2 linked regions of the Caenorhabditis elegans genome follow. The protein of the gene in region 1 purifies or fractionates together with the protein of each later gene. This does not show direct contact. Each region holds a gene or a part of one and is shown on either strand. Other genes may lie near its edges.

Region 1 (7,566 bases):
GTCTGCGAATCTATTCCAGCAGGAATGACTTTCAATTCAAGTTATCCGATTTTCAACTCAACAACCGATTGTTGGATGAGACTCATGAGTGAGATGAACTTTTTCCAAATAAAAAAAACAATAAAAATGTTATAGGTGAAGCAAAAGAAGAAATTCTTATTGGCAGCTACTATTGGAGTTTGTTAGTGAAAGACACCGGAGATGGTTATACGACAGATGATACGAATACCAGTTGGAATGTGGGTTTTTATTCGGATTTGAATAAATTTTCAGCTAATTTAGAAGATGGTCTGAAAGTATATATATATTTTTTTTAATGAATTTTTTTGACAGTTTGGATTTATTTTTCCAGGAAAAGGATATTTTGAGTTTACTCCGAGTTTACAATTAAAACAGTCTTAAAACAGAATATCGTATTGCACCCGACTACTTAACGTTGAAACGTTATATCTTTGTTCATCTTTAAGATATCAATATATTATTAACTACGAAATTATAGAAAAAGAACTAACAAATATTTAGTTAGTTGACACTTTTTAAATAGGACAGACAATAATTGAGATATAAGCTGCCAAAGTTGAACAATGGGGTGCAATACTAATAGAGGAAATACGGTAACTGTTATCAAAGTTCTATTGCGTTAGTTCAATAAGTGGGATGTTTAAGTTAGAAATTTTCTAGCAAACTGCAAAAAACTTCAACTTTTTTGATTGCTACAATTCTAAAATTAAATCAATTCAAATTCCATAGGAATTTTTATTAGGGAGCTCAAATCTACAACACACTTCTCTCAACTGCTGTTAATCGAAATATTTCTGTAAGAATTGCCCAAACATATGAAGCTGGTGGTTACCCGGAAACCGACGATTTAGTTAAAAATTCCAATGGTAGAATTCGCGTTAGGAGCTTGGATTTTAGAAATTGGTAGATTAGTTTTTATGAAACAGCTCTATAACTGCAATTTTTCAGGTATATCGGAGGTATTCTCCACACGAAATCATGGGCAATTGATGGAAAACACTTTTACATTGGATCCGCAAACTTTGACTGGAGATCACTTACCAATGTCAAAGAACTTGGGGTTGCCGCATTTAATTGTCCGTGTTTGGCTAATGACTTGAAGAATTTGTTAGAAATTTATTGGAATATGGGAGCTCCTGGAGCAACGATCCCAAAACAATGGGATAATAGTCTGTCAACTCCAGCAAACCATCAAAGTCCAATGAGCGTTTTTCAGCCAACAGGTAGTCAGGCTATGTATATTTCAGTGAGTTTCATATTTCTGAAATAGTTTTCTAAAATATTGAAATTTAAGGCATCTCCTCCAGGATTCCAAGCGTGTGGAAGAGAAGATGATTTGACTTCAATGATAAAAACTATTGATGAAGCTCAAGAATATTTATATATGGCAGTAATGGACTATTCGCCTTCAACTTTGTACTTGAAAAATGCGAATAAATGGAAACCCGAGCTGGATAATGCTATCAGAAGAGCAGCCTTTGAAAGAGCAGTTCATGTTCGATTCATGGTTTCATTATGGCCACATACTTACTCAGATGTCTACGGTATTCTATATTCTCTGCAAGATATTTCAGATCATCTGCCATGCTACAAATGGGACTCTAACGGTGAGAATAACTCATTCTGGAATAATGGGGAAAAAATTTCAGACAAATGTATAAAGAAGGGATCAATCGAGATAAGATTTGTGCAGGTTCCTGAAATGCAATATGGAAAGATTCCATACGCAAGAGTTTATCATAATAAGTATTTTGTAACGGAAAGTGCCGCATATATTGGTGAGTTTTATTGAATAATTTTTAACAAACTCATGCCCGCCCGCCTCAACCAGCAACTAACATAAACTGGTTGCCGAAAAATACCAAAAATTTATCGGCTGCTTCAGCAACAAATCCGGCAAATCGCCGTTTTTTTTTTAATTTTGCAAACTCGGCAAACCGACAATTTGCCAATTTGACAAATTTGCCAAAAAAAAACCCTCTAATTATGGTTTTCTGAATTTTCTGGAAATATCAAAGTTTGAATTATAAATTTCTGAATCGAAACCATTTTCTACATTTTCCTGAAATAAGGAAGGAAATTAGACAAAAATATGCAGCTGCATGTAATTTGCTCTTTAAAAATTTCGTGAAATTGATTTTCGGCAAACTTCGAAATTTCTTTCAAATTCAAAAAAAAAACATTTCGGCAGCCAAAAAAACCGGCTATTTTGCTGATTGGCTGAATTTGCAGAACGGCAATTGTCGCCCACCACTAAACTTGTTAACACCCCCGGGCACCCGTAGAATGTAAAATTTATCTTTAATAGAATCAATTTAACATTTTCAGGAACATCAAATTGGTCATCAGACTATTGGCAGTATACAGCCGGTATCGGAATAGTGATCCGTGCGGATGATTTCACTTCCAAATCCAAACTCGTTCAACAATTCACTTCCGTGTTCGAAAGAGATTGGTCCTCAACTTACACAATTCCTTTGAAAAATTTTACAATATCCGGTAATAGGACTAGTAATTTCTATTGAGCTTACTCTTTCACCTCTCCTTCTGCTCACAAATGCCAATAAATCGTTCATCTGTGAAATTTCCGAAGCGTGTCTTAATTTGTAGTCCGGAAGCCCGGAAGTTCTAAAGTGTCGGGATGTCTGAGTTGGAAAATTTTGTTCACATTTTCAAATTTTATGTATTCATCTTCAATTTCAAGATCAGATGTTCATAAGAAAAGATCCAAATCCACGTCAACATCTCAGTTGACAAGAAGCAGCAAGAAAAGTAGTATTGAATCTAAATTCTTAATTCCTAATCACCTGCAGAAAAAAGAAAATGGAAATTCTAGAAGTACAACTGGTTTGGACATGCTTCTTAGTCAAAATAATGAACAAAAGCAAGTTGTTGAAAGGGTGAGTTTAGAACAACACTGTTCAGGAATTTCATAAAATTTCAGCGAGATCCGTACACTCAGGAAATTTTTGATCGAGTTTTTTCCGGAAAGCTCAGTAATATTCCAAAGCCTCAGAGCAAACTTGTCAGAGTTTTTACAAGGTAAATGAATAGAGATCAACTATGGTAATTGATAAGGTATTCAGCTCTACGTTCACCGATACAACTGTAGAACGAAACGCGCTAATGGAGGAGATTTATCCAAAGCTTAAGGAATACTGCCGTGAGACTTATGGTCTGGATTTTCAGGTTTTTTTTTTGGATTTTTATGAAAGTTTTTCCGATGGCTTGAAACCCGGAAATTTTGTCTACTTGAAGCCCGATAGCTGTAAAGAGTGAAAGTCCGGTAATTCTGAAGTCCCGAAGTTCTGTATGTAGGTTTGAAGCTCAGTAGTTCTGAAGGTTTGAAGTCCCGTAGTTCTGAAGGCTTAAAACTCAGAAGATCTGAAAAACCACGAAATTTCAGGTTGTCGATATGAGATGGGGAGTCCGAGACGAATCAACCGACGATCATATGACCACTAAACTTTGCTTGTCTGAAATTGCCAACTGTCAACGACTTTCAGTTGGCGCCAATTTTGTGGTTTTTCTTTGCCAAAAATATGGATACCGACCTATTCCGTCAGAAATCCTTTCTACAGAACTAGAAATGCTGAAGAGAACTTTACGAGAGGAGCATGAAGACATTTCACTATTAGACAATTGGTATATTGAAGACTCGAACTCTGTTCCGCCTATGTTTGTTCTACAGCAAATTAGTAGTATTCTAGTAAACTTTAATAACAAGGTAAAGAAGTTTGATATGTAGACCAAATATGAAGATTTTATTGATTTCAGAGAATTCCAAAACTTCAAGAACAAGATGCAAAGCAGTGGTGGGAGTGTGAAGCGAAAATGCAGCAACTGTTGAGAAAGGGCGCAAGAAGTTGTTATGAGAAAGGATTTTTAGATCGTGAAGCAATGCATAATTATTTCATGTCTGTGACGGAAAGAGAAGTTGTGCACGGAATATTAAAAGTTAAAAATCCGAATGAGCATTGTTTGTGTTACATTCGACACATCAACAATATTGCTTTGTCACAAATGAAGACAGCTTCCAAATTTGTGGATATTGCACACAATCATGTAAGTTTTCACAGTGTCGGTCAAAATATTCTGGTCAGAAACAGACGCGCCAGATGGCAGATGTTGTATTTTTTTCGAAAATTTTTTGATCAACTTCATTAAAACAGTTCAAAGCCAGCAACGAATCAAGTATTGGTACAAAGTTTCAGTGAACTCTTAATATGTTTATAGGTAAACTCTGAAGCTCAAAAACTCCTTGCAAATCTTCGTGATGAAAGAGTCCCTGCCAAGTTGGCAATGCAAAATATCAGACGATCAACTGTGGAATGGGTTGGAAGAGATGGAATCGACGTTCAATATCACGCTGAATACATTCGTCAATTTTGTACGGACTTTTATAAAAGTATCACCTCAATGGTCGATAACGCAATGGAAAAGCACGCGAGGTTTCGAGATCAACTATTCACAGAAGTCCTAACCCATTTAACAACTGGAATCACCGTCTCCAATATGTTTTTCGGAAGAAATGAACAACTGGATTGTGCCAAACAATATGTTCTCGGGAATTCAACACTTCCTATTATTCTTCAAGGAGAAAATGGGTGTGGGAAGACATCTCTGATGGCTAAAATTGCAACTAAGATCAGGGAATGGTATGATAATTCCTGCGAGCCAGTGGTTCTATTGAGATTCTTGGGGACGAGTCCGGATAGTTCAAATATTGCCCCACTCCTCACAAGTGTCTGTGATCAGGTAAAAACAATTATTAGTATTATTCTAAAAAGGAAAAAGACACATAAAATAGTCTAACATGGCCTAATATCATACTAAAACACCCAAAAAAAGAATTGGGCATTTCAGCCCTAAAGGAGCAGTTTTTAATAATCCCCCTCTGACGATACTCCACCTTCATAATTATTTTAAGCTTATCATTTTCCAGATTGCATCAAACTACGACGAATCGCTCAAAAATTCTTCCCCAACTGAGTTATCAAAACTCTTCCAACATTTCAAAAAGATAACCAACCTTGCCACTCGCGAAAAACCACTAGTAATAATTTTTGACAGTCTTGATCTTTTATCAAGAATCGATGGAGCTCATGAACTTCTTTGGTTTCCCCCTTCTTTACCTCCATTTGTCAAATTATTCGCATCCCTCACGCCGGGTGGAAGTCTGATTTACTCGAAAATGCAACGACTAATTGAAGACAAAAGACAGTATCTGATGGTTCCAAGTTTGGGAAAAGTATTTGGCATGCCAATTTTCAGATATTCATGATTAATTTCAGGATCTTGGATTTCAAGTTGTTCGAGAATGGTTGTCTGACAAAGGCCGTACACTTTCTGAAAGACAATGGAATACGGTATCTAAGGCACTTGATAAATGTACATTGCCTCTTTTTGTGAAATTAATTTATGCAACTGTAGCAAGATGGAAGTCATACTCTCGACCGCAAGAGACGATACTTTTCTCATCGTTACAAGAAAGTATCAACGTTTTATTTCATAGAACCGAGAGTCAGCATGGTAAACTATAGTTTAAAAACTTGTTCTGTCGGAGCTTCATTCAAACTTTTTTTCAGGAAAACTACTCGTATCCCATGCTTTATCCTACATTTCTGCTGCTCGCTCTGGAATCAGTGACTCTGAAGTAGAGGATTTGATCTCTCTCGACGACAAAGTACTCGATGATATTTTTCAATACCATCTTCCCCCGGTGAGAAGGATTCCACCTTTGTTATGGAGTCGTATCAGATCCGACCTTCCTGGTTACCTATCGGAAAGAGCTGCTGATGGAGTCATTGTTCTAAATTGGTACCATCAACAGTTCCGACAAGTTGCGATTGAAAGATATTTCAAAAATGTGAACCATTTGGAGACTTGTCATTCTGCAATGGCGGAATATTTTCTTGGAGTATGGGGTGGAGTACCAAAGCCTTATCAATACACTGAAATGCAGAAACAAAGATTTGGAGTCACTGAAAATGAAGGTTAACTCGAGCTCGCTTTCCTGATTGTCTAGCATAAATTTCCAGGACTGGCTGACAGAAAAGTACCGAAACAGCCGAATGTATTTTCTTCGAAAGATGGAAACCATAGGTACAACACAAGAAAATTGAACGAACTACCGTATCACCTTCTGAGATCCGGAAGAGTCGATGAACTGTTGACACTCTGTCTTTTTGATTACGAGTTTTTGCATGCAAAGGTTGCTGAAAAATCATGATAGAGATTAAAGTTGAAATTTCGATTCCAGGTATCAAGTTTTCCATTGCAATCTCTTATTGCCGATTATGAAGATGCTATTCAAAATGTTCGAGATGTCGAGATATCTCGTCAACTTTCTCTCGCAGTAGACGCTTTAAGACTTTCAGCGAGTATATTGAGGTGGGCCTTTTTAGGGGAACTGTATATTTATACATATTGAAACTTAAGAAAAATAATTTTTAAAAACTTTAATTCTGTCAAATCTAGAGAAAATCAATGAAAAATCGATGAATATTCAGCAGCAGCAGCAGTAGTTTGACAGTACAATACTCATTAAAGGCTCACTTCTTGTAGTCAACAAAAAATTTTGTCGTGTCGAGACCGTGTACCGTATTCAAAATTTGACATCTGAGTAATAACACCCAACGTATAATATTCCAGCCGCAACCCGTCCATGCTAGCCTTCGAGCTTCTTGGACGACTTCTACCTCTTGTCGCCACTAACAAATACGTCAGCAAGCTCCTTATCAAGTAATACTAGTTCAAAAAATTTTTAAAAAAATAAAAATTATTATCCAGATGTGACAAAGAAGGTCCCCAACACAATTCGTTTGTACCGGCTCACCATTGTTTCCACGCCCCGGGAGGCCCTCTCAAGTTTTCGCTAGAAGAACATCAGTTTGCTGTTTTTGGAATGCAATTGACCTCTGATCGGAAGCTTCTGGTATCAACATCAACTCAGATTATTGTCTGGGATGTGTCTACAGGTACTTTTATAACAGTTGAGAAAAAACTTAAGAACTTGAATTCGCAGGAGATATTGCTCGAGTTGTTAATCCAAATATCGATGGAGTCTTCTTCGGACTGGCTGTATCAGAAAATGATAAATTTGCCGCTGCCTACACAAATAACAATCAAGTTATTGTTGCTTCATTAGTTACGGGGGAATTTACTGCAATTGATCCAGAACCATTCGTGACACAGATGGAACTACAAGCGGTAAGATAAAACTAATTAGTATTGCACCAGACTGCTTTACTTTAAAAGGGAATATCTCATAGTCAGTTTGTTTCAAATTAATTAACAATAAATAACAATTTAACAACAAAATAGAAAGAGAACTAACAAATATTTAGTTAGTTAACAATTTTTTAATAGAACAAACGAGAACTTAGCCATAAGCTGTCAAAGTTTAAAAATAGGGTGCAATAGAGAAAATACGGTAACTTTTTTGATTTACAATTGGAAAAGTTTTTTAGATTCGATTCGTTGGCAACAATAATGTGTTAATGTGGTCCAAATCCCATTACATGATCTACACAGTTAATGGGA
Region 2 (8,614 bases), on another chromosome or scaffold:
ATCGTGAAATAATCTCAAATATTCGAATTTTCCTTCAATTAAAACCACCAGAAAATGAGGAAAAATAGCGATTTTTGAGTTTCACTCAAAATATCTCGGCTCAAAGAGCTCCAATCTTTCTGAAATAAAAAATACAGAGGTGGGGCAAGCTTTTTGAAGAGACAGCAAAAAACCGCATCAAAATCCATCCACCCACCGTCAAGTTACACGCGCGTTTTCAAAGTGGAATTTTTTTGTCGACAAAAAGGGGCGGAGCGAGGGTCACTTTTGTCGGATTTTGAAGCTTAATATCTCGGCTCCTGTAAATCGAAATTGGCTCAAAATTCACAAGAAACCTTATCCTGCTACCTTCCTGCTGTCATTAAATTTTCGTGAGCTTAGGGAGAAAACTGACAAAACGCCAAACTTTCAAATTTTAAAAAACAGTTGAGGGTCATTTTGAAAACACCTTAAGCTCCATAACTCGGCGAGTTTTAATGGAATCAATTTGAAATTTTACACGAAAGCTTCTTGGTGGTCTATACGCCTCTGTGTAAAATTTCGCTTTGATCGGCCAACGGGAACCCTTTGAAAAATGAAAAAAACGCTGTAATCCTAACCCTAAAAGCTGACGCTCCCCCACTGACGCCAAGCCTAAGCCTAAGCCTAAGCCTAAACCTAAGCCTAATATAAGTCTAAATCTGAACCTAAGCCTAAGCCTAAGCCTACGCCTAAGTCCTACAATTTGCAGACTTTGGCGAAGGTTTTAAAATTTGGCAATATATCCTCGGCAATTCCCGACAGCTTCTTCCCCAAGTTTGGGCCTTTTCAGCTTCTTAACCAACTCTTGCCAACTTCTAACCCAGAGTACGGCCAAGTCTTACCCAACTTCAACAATTCTAGCGTAAACTCCCTCGCCCGTGTCTTGCCCAAGTCTTAGCCAAGTCTTGCCAACTTCTTACCCAAGTTTGCAGATGTAAAGAACGAACAAGATTCCGAAATCCCGCACGCGCAATGTTTAGCGTAAATCGAGATTTTGTCTTTTGAGTAATTTGTATCTAAAACAGAGGAATTTCGATGTAATTGAAAGAATTCACAAGAAAACTTGTCCCTTCAAAGGCAAATTCTCAATATTTTTCTCTGATGGCTAACATTGTTAAAAAATGTACGAACAAAGTTTGCTTTTTATTGCCATTTTGTCTAATAAACCGTGTAATTTATCTAAAAATAAAAATAAAAGTTATCTTCAGGATAATTCTTCTCCTAGTCAGTCCAATAGTCAAATAATAGTCAGTCATACCAATGCATCAAATTTTGAATTTTTCTAAAACCGAACTGTTTCTTTGAAATGTAAACTTTTAAAAAATTGAAAGACAAGAAACAAACATGAATTACAGTAATTCTGTAAATTCTGTACTTAGGATCATTAGGGAGCACACTTGAAAACAAATGAAATAAGGTATGTGAGAATACCGTATCAATCCGATATGTCTGGTACTTCCTCAAAAATATCTATCAGAATATGAGTACGATAGTGTGCATCTTTTCGCGCGACCATCATGGCTCAGCAGGTAAGACTTCGGCACAACGGGAAATGAGATCAAAGTTCAACACACAGGTATAAATTGGGTAAGGAATAGGCAAAACTTGGGTAAGACTTGGGTAAGACTAGGGCGACGCCTCGGGACGACGAGGCAGTCGACGACTTTTTTCATTTTTGAGGCGGCGCCCAACTTTTGCCCAAGGTTTACCCAAGTCTTGGCAACTCCTTATAAATGTTTTTATTTTTTGGGCAAGGCTTGGGTAAGAAGTTGCGAAGCCTTGGGTAGGAAGCTGGCGGCAAACGCCGAGTCATAGCGGAAATTTTTCGGAAATTTTAAAATAATTTTATCATTTTTCGTTGCTTTTTTCAAACCTCTCGGCAACTTTTGTCATTTTCCAGAAATATTTCAAAAATTTCCGGCAAATATTTTACTTTTCAAACGACTATAGTTAGTCAGATAGTTGGTAAGTTTTTTGGCAGTTGTTGGAATTTTTTGAAAAGTTCGAGACAAAATTTGAAATTTCAGCTGAAAATTGGTATTGTTTTTCAAAATTTTGAACCGTCATTACTTTTTTTTGGATACATTTTCCGAACGCCAAGCTTTCCCAATTTTAAGTTGCATAAATCCCCAGAAAAATTCTCCTCCAGCTTCATTTCCCTCCCTAACCGAAACCCAATAGTCCTTGGCAAATCCACCAAAACGCGCAATCAAACACAGACCTACAGCTTTTCCTTATTCACCGCCGCCGCTGCCGAACCCCCGCAAAAAATATGGGAAATTGAGAAGAGATTTAGACAAACACACACACACACCAAAAATGATGCGCAGAATAAAAAAAAAGAGGGAGAGCGAATTGGCAAAAAACTTGAAACACCTAGACGTTTTACGTAATACCCTACACATTAACTACACATTGTCAGGGGAGTAGTTTTATGGTTCTGTTTTTCTGATGCGGTGGGGGGGGGGGGGGGGGGTCCTGCCTACCTACCTGACTGTCTGTTAACATGCTTGAAAAGCAACCTATACTTGCCTCAAGCCCTCACGCCTGCCTACTACCAAAGTCTTGCCTTTATTTCTGTATACTTCAAATTATTCTATATGTACAGTTGACGCCATAATTTAGAAAATAGGTGGTAGGCAGGTGCGCAGGCATGAAGTAGGTATAATATTTCTGCCTCTGATCATCTCCACATAATCACCAACTTCTTTTTATCCTTGTCATAAGGCCCAATGATTAGCGATTTGATACGCCACTTGGCTTTTCCAAAAAATTTACAATTTTCTGTTTAAATCCCCGGGTATCTGAAATTCCTGCCTTTTTCCAATATTTTTGTTTTCTCGATTTTCAAAAATTTCCACATTTTCTCATCTCAGACATCTGCCTGTAAATTCCTGACTTTTAGCCAGTCTTATCTATTTGAAAATCGTCACCTTTGTGATCTTCGTCATTCGTTTTTGCGCCCATGCATTTTTTTTGGAAAGATGTAAATTTCGCTTCCACCTATCGCTTACTGTGTAACTTTGAAAGCTCGCTAGTTTGAAACTATGTATTCTGCGTGCTGAGAATCCCTAACAGTACTCCTTCCCTCAAAGTTCCATTGTACTTCAACAATACCCCTACAGTAATCTTCCAATTCTCTTACAGTAATCATACAGTACCCCAACACTAACCATGCAGAACTGCTACAGTAACCCTACACTATTTCCACAGTAACCATACAGTACTCCTACAGTATTACCGGTACAGAGAGTGTAGATAGTTAGAGAGTGACAGACATCCGGGACCCAATGGGGCGGGGCGCGCGGAAGAGACGATTTGTGTCGATTTACGAACTTTTCCTCATTGTCATCATTTCGTAAATCGAGACAAATCGTCTCTTCCGCGCGCCCCGCCCCATTGGGTCCCGGATGTCTGTCACTCTCTAACTATCTACACTCTCTGTACCGGTAATAATCCTCCAGTTTTCTTACAGTAATCTTACAGTACCCTCACAGTAATCTTACAGTATTCTCACAATAATCCTACAATACTCTTACAGTAGTTCTGAATTACTCCTACATTAGTTCTACATGACTCCTACAGTAATCCTACATTACCCATACACTAACCATATACATTACTTCTACAGTAACCATACAATACTCTTACAGTAACCCTGCAGTACCCCTACGGGGCACCTACAGTAATCTTACAGTAATCCTATTTTCTTTAAGGATACCTATCAAAATGGTAAAAAAGCACAAACACGAGTGCCAAAAACCTCCGCCGCTCCCAACAACACCTCCACCACCTCCAGTCGGGGAGCTCCCAACACAGTACAAGAGGATGTCCTCAACCTTACAGCACGTGCAGCCACCTCGACGTTCGAACCACGCATATTTATTGGTACCATTTGTCATCACAGTCGGGCTCATGTGGTTCGCATATTCACAATGGAAGAATCCGCCGCAAGCTCAACTGCAACCATCTGTGGTTACTGATAGGTGTGAGTTGTTTGGTTTAAATTAATAGTGTCAACTACAGTACTCCTATAGTAACCCTATGCAGTAAACCTTAGTACAGTTGTCAACTATAGTACTTTTACAATACCCATACAGTAAACCTAGTGTAGTAATCCCGAGTACATTAGTCAGCAACAGTACTCCTACGGTAACCCTATACAGTAATACTCAGTACTCCTACAGCAACCCCGTAAGGTAAACCCTAGTACAGTACGCCCACATTCATTGTACAGTAATTGTGCCTAGCAAACACTAGTAACTACAGTACTCCTACAGTAACCCTATATAGTAATCCCAAGTACAGTACCACTACAGTAACCCTGTCACAAGTACTATAATCAATTTATGCTAACCTCCTCGAAACAAATTCCTGATGATTGATCAAGCCCGTATTAGGCGAAATCGAAATTTTCTCAAATTAGCTGAAATTTCCTAATTTCCCTCTCCCTTTTACGGTTTAAAATTTTTGATCACCAAACCACAGAAACACTACAAACAAAACCGGGGACAAAATTGCAAAAAAAAAAATCAATTTTTTCAGACAGACCTCGAGTCGCCTGGATGTCGGACCTCATCAAATCCCTGCCACCATTTGCGCAGGGGTATCGGGCTGAGAAGGTAAGGCGCAGATAAACATTGGACAAAAGTCGCCCGCTACCGCCCCCGCTACCGCCCCGCTATCGCCCCGCTACCGCCCCGCTATCGCCCCGCTACCGCCCCGCTACCGCCCCGCTACCGCCCCGCTACCGCCCCGCTACCGCCCACTGACACCCCGCTACCGCCCCGCTACAGCCCCGCTACCGCCCCGCTACCGCCCCGCTACCGCCCCGCTACCGCCCCGCTACCGCCCACTGACACCCCGCTACCGCCCACTGACACCCCGCTACCGCCCGCTACCGCCCCGTTACAGCCCCGCTACCGCCCACTGGCACCCCGCTACCGCCCGCTACCGCCCACTGACACCCCGCTACCGCCCACTGACACCCCGCTACCGCCCACTGACACCCCGCTACCGCCCGCTACCGCCCCGCTATAGCTCCGCTACCGCCCACTGGCACCCCCGCTACCGCCCGCTACCGCCCACTGACACCCCGCTACCGCTCTGCTGACCGAAATACTTTAAATGCGCATATCTCGGCGGAGATTAAAGGTAACAAAAATTTGTCAACTGACAAAATATTCCAAAATTTTCAAATTAAATTTTCAGTTTGTCCCAAAGTACAAACTATCGGGATGCACCATAAACGGAAACTTTCCCGAAATGAATACAGCCATATTTTGCTATTTGTACAATTCAACGCTATACACTTCGGCGAATAAGACAATTTCTCAGGATATTGGAGAAACTGGGTAAGAATTTTATAAGTTATCTAGGTGCTCTACAATTAGAGATTCAGATTATGCTCCAAAATCGCTGAATTCAATATGAACGACTGGAAGCTGTGGGATAAAATTAATGACGATTTTCGAAGGATTGTATTTATTCAGCATCCGTTGGAACGATTTGTTAGGTCATATAAGAAGTTGTGTAAAATGTGAGTTTTATTGATTTTTACGAAAAAAAAATCAATAATTATCGATTTTTTTTTTGCAGTGAGCGAAAATGCTTCAACTGCCAGGACAATCTCAGTTGCTTCATGCGGAAATTGTTGAAGCAGCACGAAAAAACAGCGGAGGGGCTTGCAGGACCAGTCAGGACGTTTATCACAAATCATTTCAGCCCTCAGACTTGGTAAGTACGGTATTTTGAAAAAAGTCGGGAATGCAAGCGCGCTCCATTGCAAATTAGCTGAAAATTTGGAAAATTGGCTTTAAAATCGATTTTTAAGTTGAAAGATTAGAAAAATAGCTGGAAAATGAAGAGAAACGTTCAAAAAATATGTAAAATATTTTAAATTTAAAGAAAAAGTAAAATATTAGTGCACTTTTGGAGAAAAACTACTAAAATTTCATCAAAAATTCGTAATTTTTTATTGTTTCCCGTCCAAAAAGGTTTTATTCTCACTTTTTATGCCAATAAAAAACCAAAATTTGTACTGAAAATACCAAAAAACCACATTTTTAACATCAATAAATGCAATTTCCCCTTTAAATCACCTCCCCCACGCTGCGTTTCCTCCTACCACACGCTCTCTCCCCGCAGCGTCCACGTAAAACATAGCGCGCCGCGGAACCCGCAAGTTGTCCGCCGCGTCGGTTTATTACGTTCGCGAGCCTTCTTTCTTTAATCACGTCTGGTGAGGATGAAAACAGGACAGGTTTCGCTAAAATATTACCGAATGCCAATATGTCGAGACACCTTGGCTGTCTGAGGACGTTTTAATAATAAATTTTGGAAGTTAGCTTTTTAGCAAAGTGTGTTTATTATTTCCAGGAATTGCCATTTCAATCGGGAGTTTCAAAAGATTCGTACAGTGAAGATTGGCGGGAATCAAACTGAACGGGCGGAGTTCTCCGATAACCTGAATGAAATCCTTGGGGAGCAGGGAGTTGCTCAAGAGGTTCAGCGGATTATTAAGGAGGAAGTTTTGAGTAGGTTTTTTAGTCTGAAGCGTCCGAAAATCCTGATTTTCAGAAATTCCCCTGGAGCTCTCACCGGACGAACGTGAGCTCGCCGTAGCCATAAAACGAGATCATGACGATCTTTACCGACTATTCCGTTATCTGTACGAACACGACTTTATCGTGTTTGGATACCCATTTTAAACAAGTTCTCAAAAAAAAAAAAAACCAAAAGCAGCTGACATTTCACGGGTTCCCCATTTCCATACTTTTTGCGTTGTTGTTCCATCGATTTCTGGTGCTTTTCCTCAATAAATGATTCGAATTTTGAATTTTAAGGTTTATTTCTTATCAAAAATGACATAATCACTATCAATGTTTGTGTTGTGCTGTGTGGGCTTTTTCAAAACGTTTGGGAATTTGATTTTTACAAATAGTTCAGGTTTACTATTCTAAAGTGCAACACGGTTTTGCAGAAGATCAACATTTTTGCAGAATTTTTTGCGGAGGTTTTTTAATGATGTAGAAATTTTAAATTACTGTAATTTTGTTCATTTTTGAGGTTTAGCAAATGCGCTCTAATGCAAAATTTTGAAATTTTTGTTAAAACCCCAGCTACTTGAGACTGTTGTAGTTTTTTAAAATTCAATTTTTAGCACTTTGCTAATTTTCAAATTTTTTTAAAATCAACTAATAGACAATTTCAAGTACTACAATTAGTTAAAAATTAATGGCCAAACTAGATATTTCTAAATTTTTTAAAATCGTAGATCAAAAATGCTCACGGAGCAAAATGCTCCTCCCAGTACTGTAGCCAAGTGTCTAGCCAAACAAAATAAGGAATCAGTTTGAAAATCAACTGATATTATCAGTTGACATGTGCACATTTTTCTCTATTAAATTACCACTATACTACACTTTTTTTCCGTTTTTAAGGAAATTTTTTGATATGCATTAATTCACAGAGGTTCAGTATTTTGAGTGTAGTTGAAAAAAACAAAATTTTTTCAGTATGAAAATTTCAGTTTTTAATTAAAAAAAATGAAATAAAATTTTTTTGAAATTTTTTTCAGATTTTTTCCAAAAAATTTATTTAGTTTTTTTTTTTTAACTTTTTGAATATTTTAACATAAAAACTCTTCAATTTCACTGTTATATTATATGGTTAATTTTAATTTTTAAATATAATTTTAAAATTTTCAGAAAAAAATGGGGATCGCTGTGTACCTCCTTGCTTTGGTGGTAATATATGTTGTGTTTAATTTGAGTAAAATTTTGAAATTTGTGAAGGTAAGTACATTCTTATTAAAGAACATAAATTTGAAAAAAAAAATTCAAAAAATTTCAAAAATTTCCAAAAGAAATTTTTTTTTGAAAAATATCCAAAAATTTTTTTCCACTTTTTCAAAGATCGAAATTTCAAAAATATCCTTAAAAGTATGTATAAAAACCGTAATAAACATTTTTTTCAGGAAAGAATGCGGCTCTACCATCTTATGTCCAAAATCGATGGTCCTCTGGCTTTACCCCTGCTAGGCACAACTTTTCAGTTCAAAATGGATCCAGTTGGTGAGGTTTTTTTTTAAATTTGTTCAAAAAACTACAGAATTTTATTCTAGAATTTGAATCACCGAAACAAAAAAAAATGTTTTAAAAACAAATTTCCAGAATTCGCGCTTCAACTCTACAACTGGGGATTGGAGTACTCCACAAAAGGCTCATCCTTAGCTGCTTTCTGGATGGGACCATACCCAATGGTCATCGTTTTGACACCTGAAGCTAATAAGGTACAAACCCGTAATATGTCGGGCGCACAAAATTTTCACATTTTTCAGAAAGTTCTCGAAAGCAATGCCCTGATCAACAAGAGTAGTGAATATGACATTTTCCTTCCGTGGCTCGGAACGGGGCTTCTCCTGGCGAGCGGTGAGAAATGGAGAGGTCGGCGAAAGATGATGACCCCATCGTTTCATTTCAATGTTCTTATCGATTTTCAAGTGGTTTTCAATAGTCAAAGCATGGTATGTTATACCGAAAAGCAGGAGTTTGCAAATTGGGATTTTCAGATTTTGCTAGAACAAATCGAA

The links. The genes of interacting proteins can lie anywhere in the genome.
Region 2: the proteins of T05C3.2 (region 1) and F01D5.10 fractionate together in Caenorhabditis elegans (co-fractionation; one large-scale study listed by BioGRID). This does not show direct contact.

What each region holds. Positions count from the first base shown.
Region 1 is NC_003283.11:5,491,045-5,498,610, forward strand, and holds the start of T05C3.2 (NACHT domain-containing protein), read left to right. Parts: upstream 1-2,702; coding exon 2,703-2,921; intron 2,922-2,965; coding exon 2,966-3,063; intron 3,064-3,107; coding exon 3,108-3,210; intron 3,211-3,427; coding exon 3,428-3,748; intron 3,749-3,798; coding exon 3,799-4,086; intron 4,087-4,257; coding exon 4,258-4,779; intron 4,780-4,966; coding exon 4,967-5,272; intron 5,273-5,315; coding exon 5,316-5,553; intron 5,554-5,609; coding exon 5,610-6,017; intron 6,018-6,062; coding exon 6,063-6,235; intron 6,236-6,283; coding exon 6,284-6,414; intron 6,415-6,675; coding exon 6,676-6,765; intron 6,766-6,813; coding exon 6,814-7,001; intron 7,002-7,048; coding exon 7,049-7,233; intron 7,234-7,493; coding exon 7,494-7,566. Other genes in the region: T05C3.6 (PLD phosphodiesterase domain-containing protein), read left to right, coding at 1-88, 136-239, 764-924, 970-1,267, 1,316-1,628, 1,671-1,799, 2,350-2,546.
Region 2 is NC_003280.10:14,016,082-14,024,695, reverse strand, and holds F01D5.10 (Carbohydrate sulfotransferase), read left to right. Parts: upstream 1-3,365; 5' UTR 3,366-3,470; intron 3,471-3,737; 5' UTR 3,738-3,750; coding exon 3,751-4,009; intron 4,010-4,566; coding exon 4,567-4,643; intron 4,644-5,232; coding exon 5,233-5,375; intron 5,376-5,422; coding exon 5,423-5,560; intron 5,561-5,619; coding exon 5,620-5,757; intron 5,758-6,254; exon of another isoform or gene 6,255-6,343; intron 6,344-6,399; coding exon 6,400-6,557; intron 6,558-6,600; coding exon 6,601-6,731; 3' UTR 6,732-6,857; downstream 6,858-8,614. Other genes in the region: cyp-37A1 (CYtochrome P450 family), read left to right, coding at 7,737-7,817, 8,000-8,096, 8,196-8,314, 8,363-8,548, 8,594-8,614.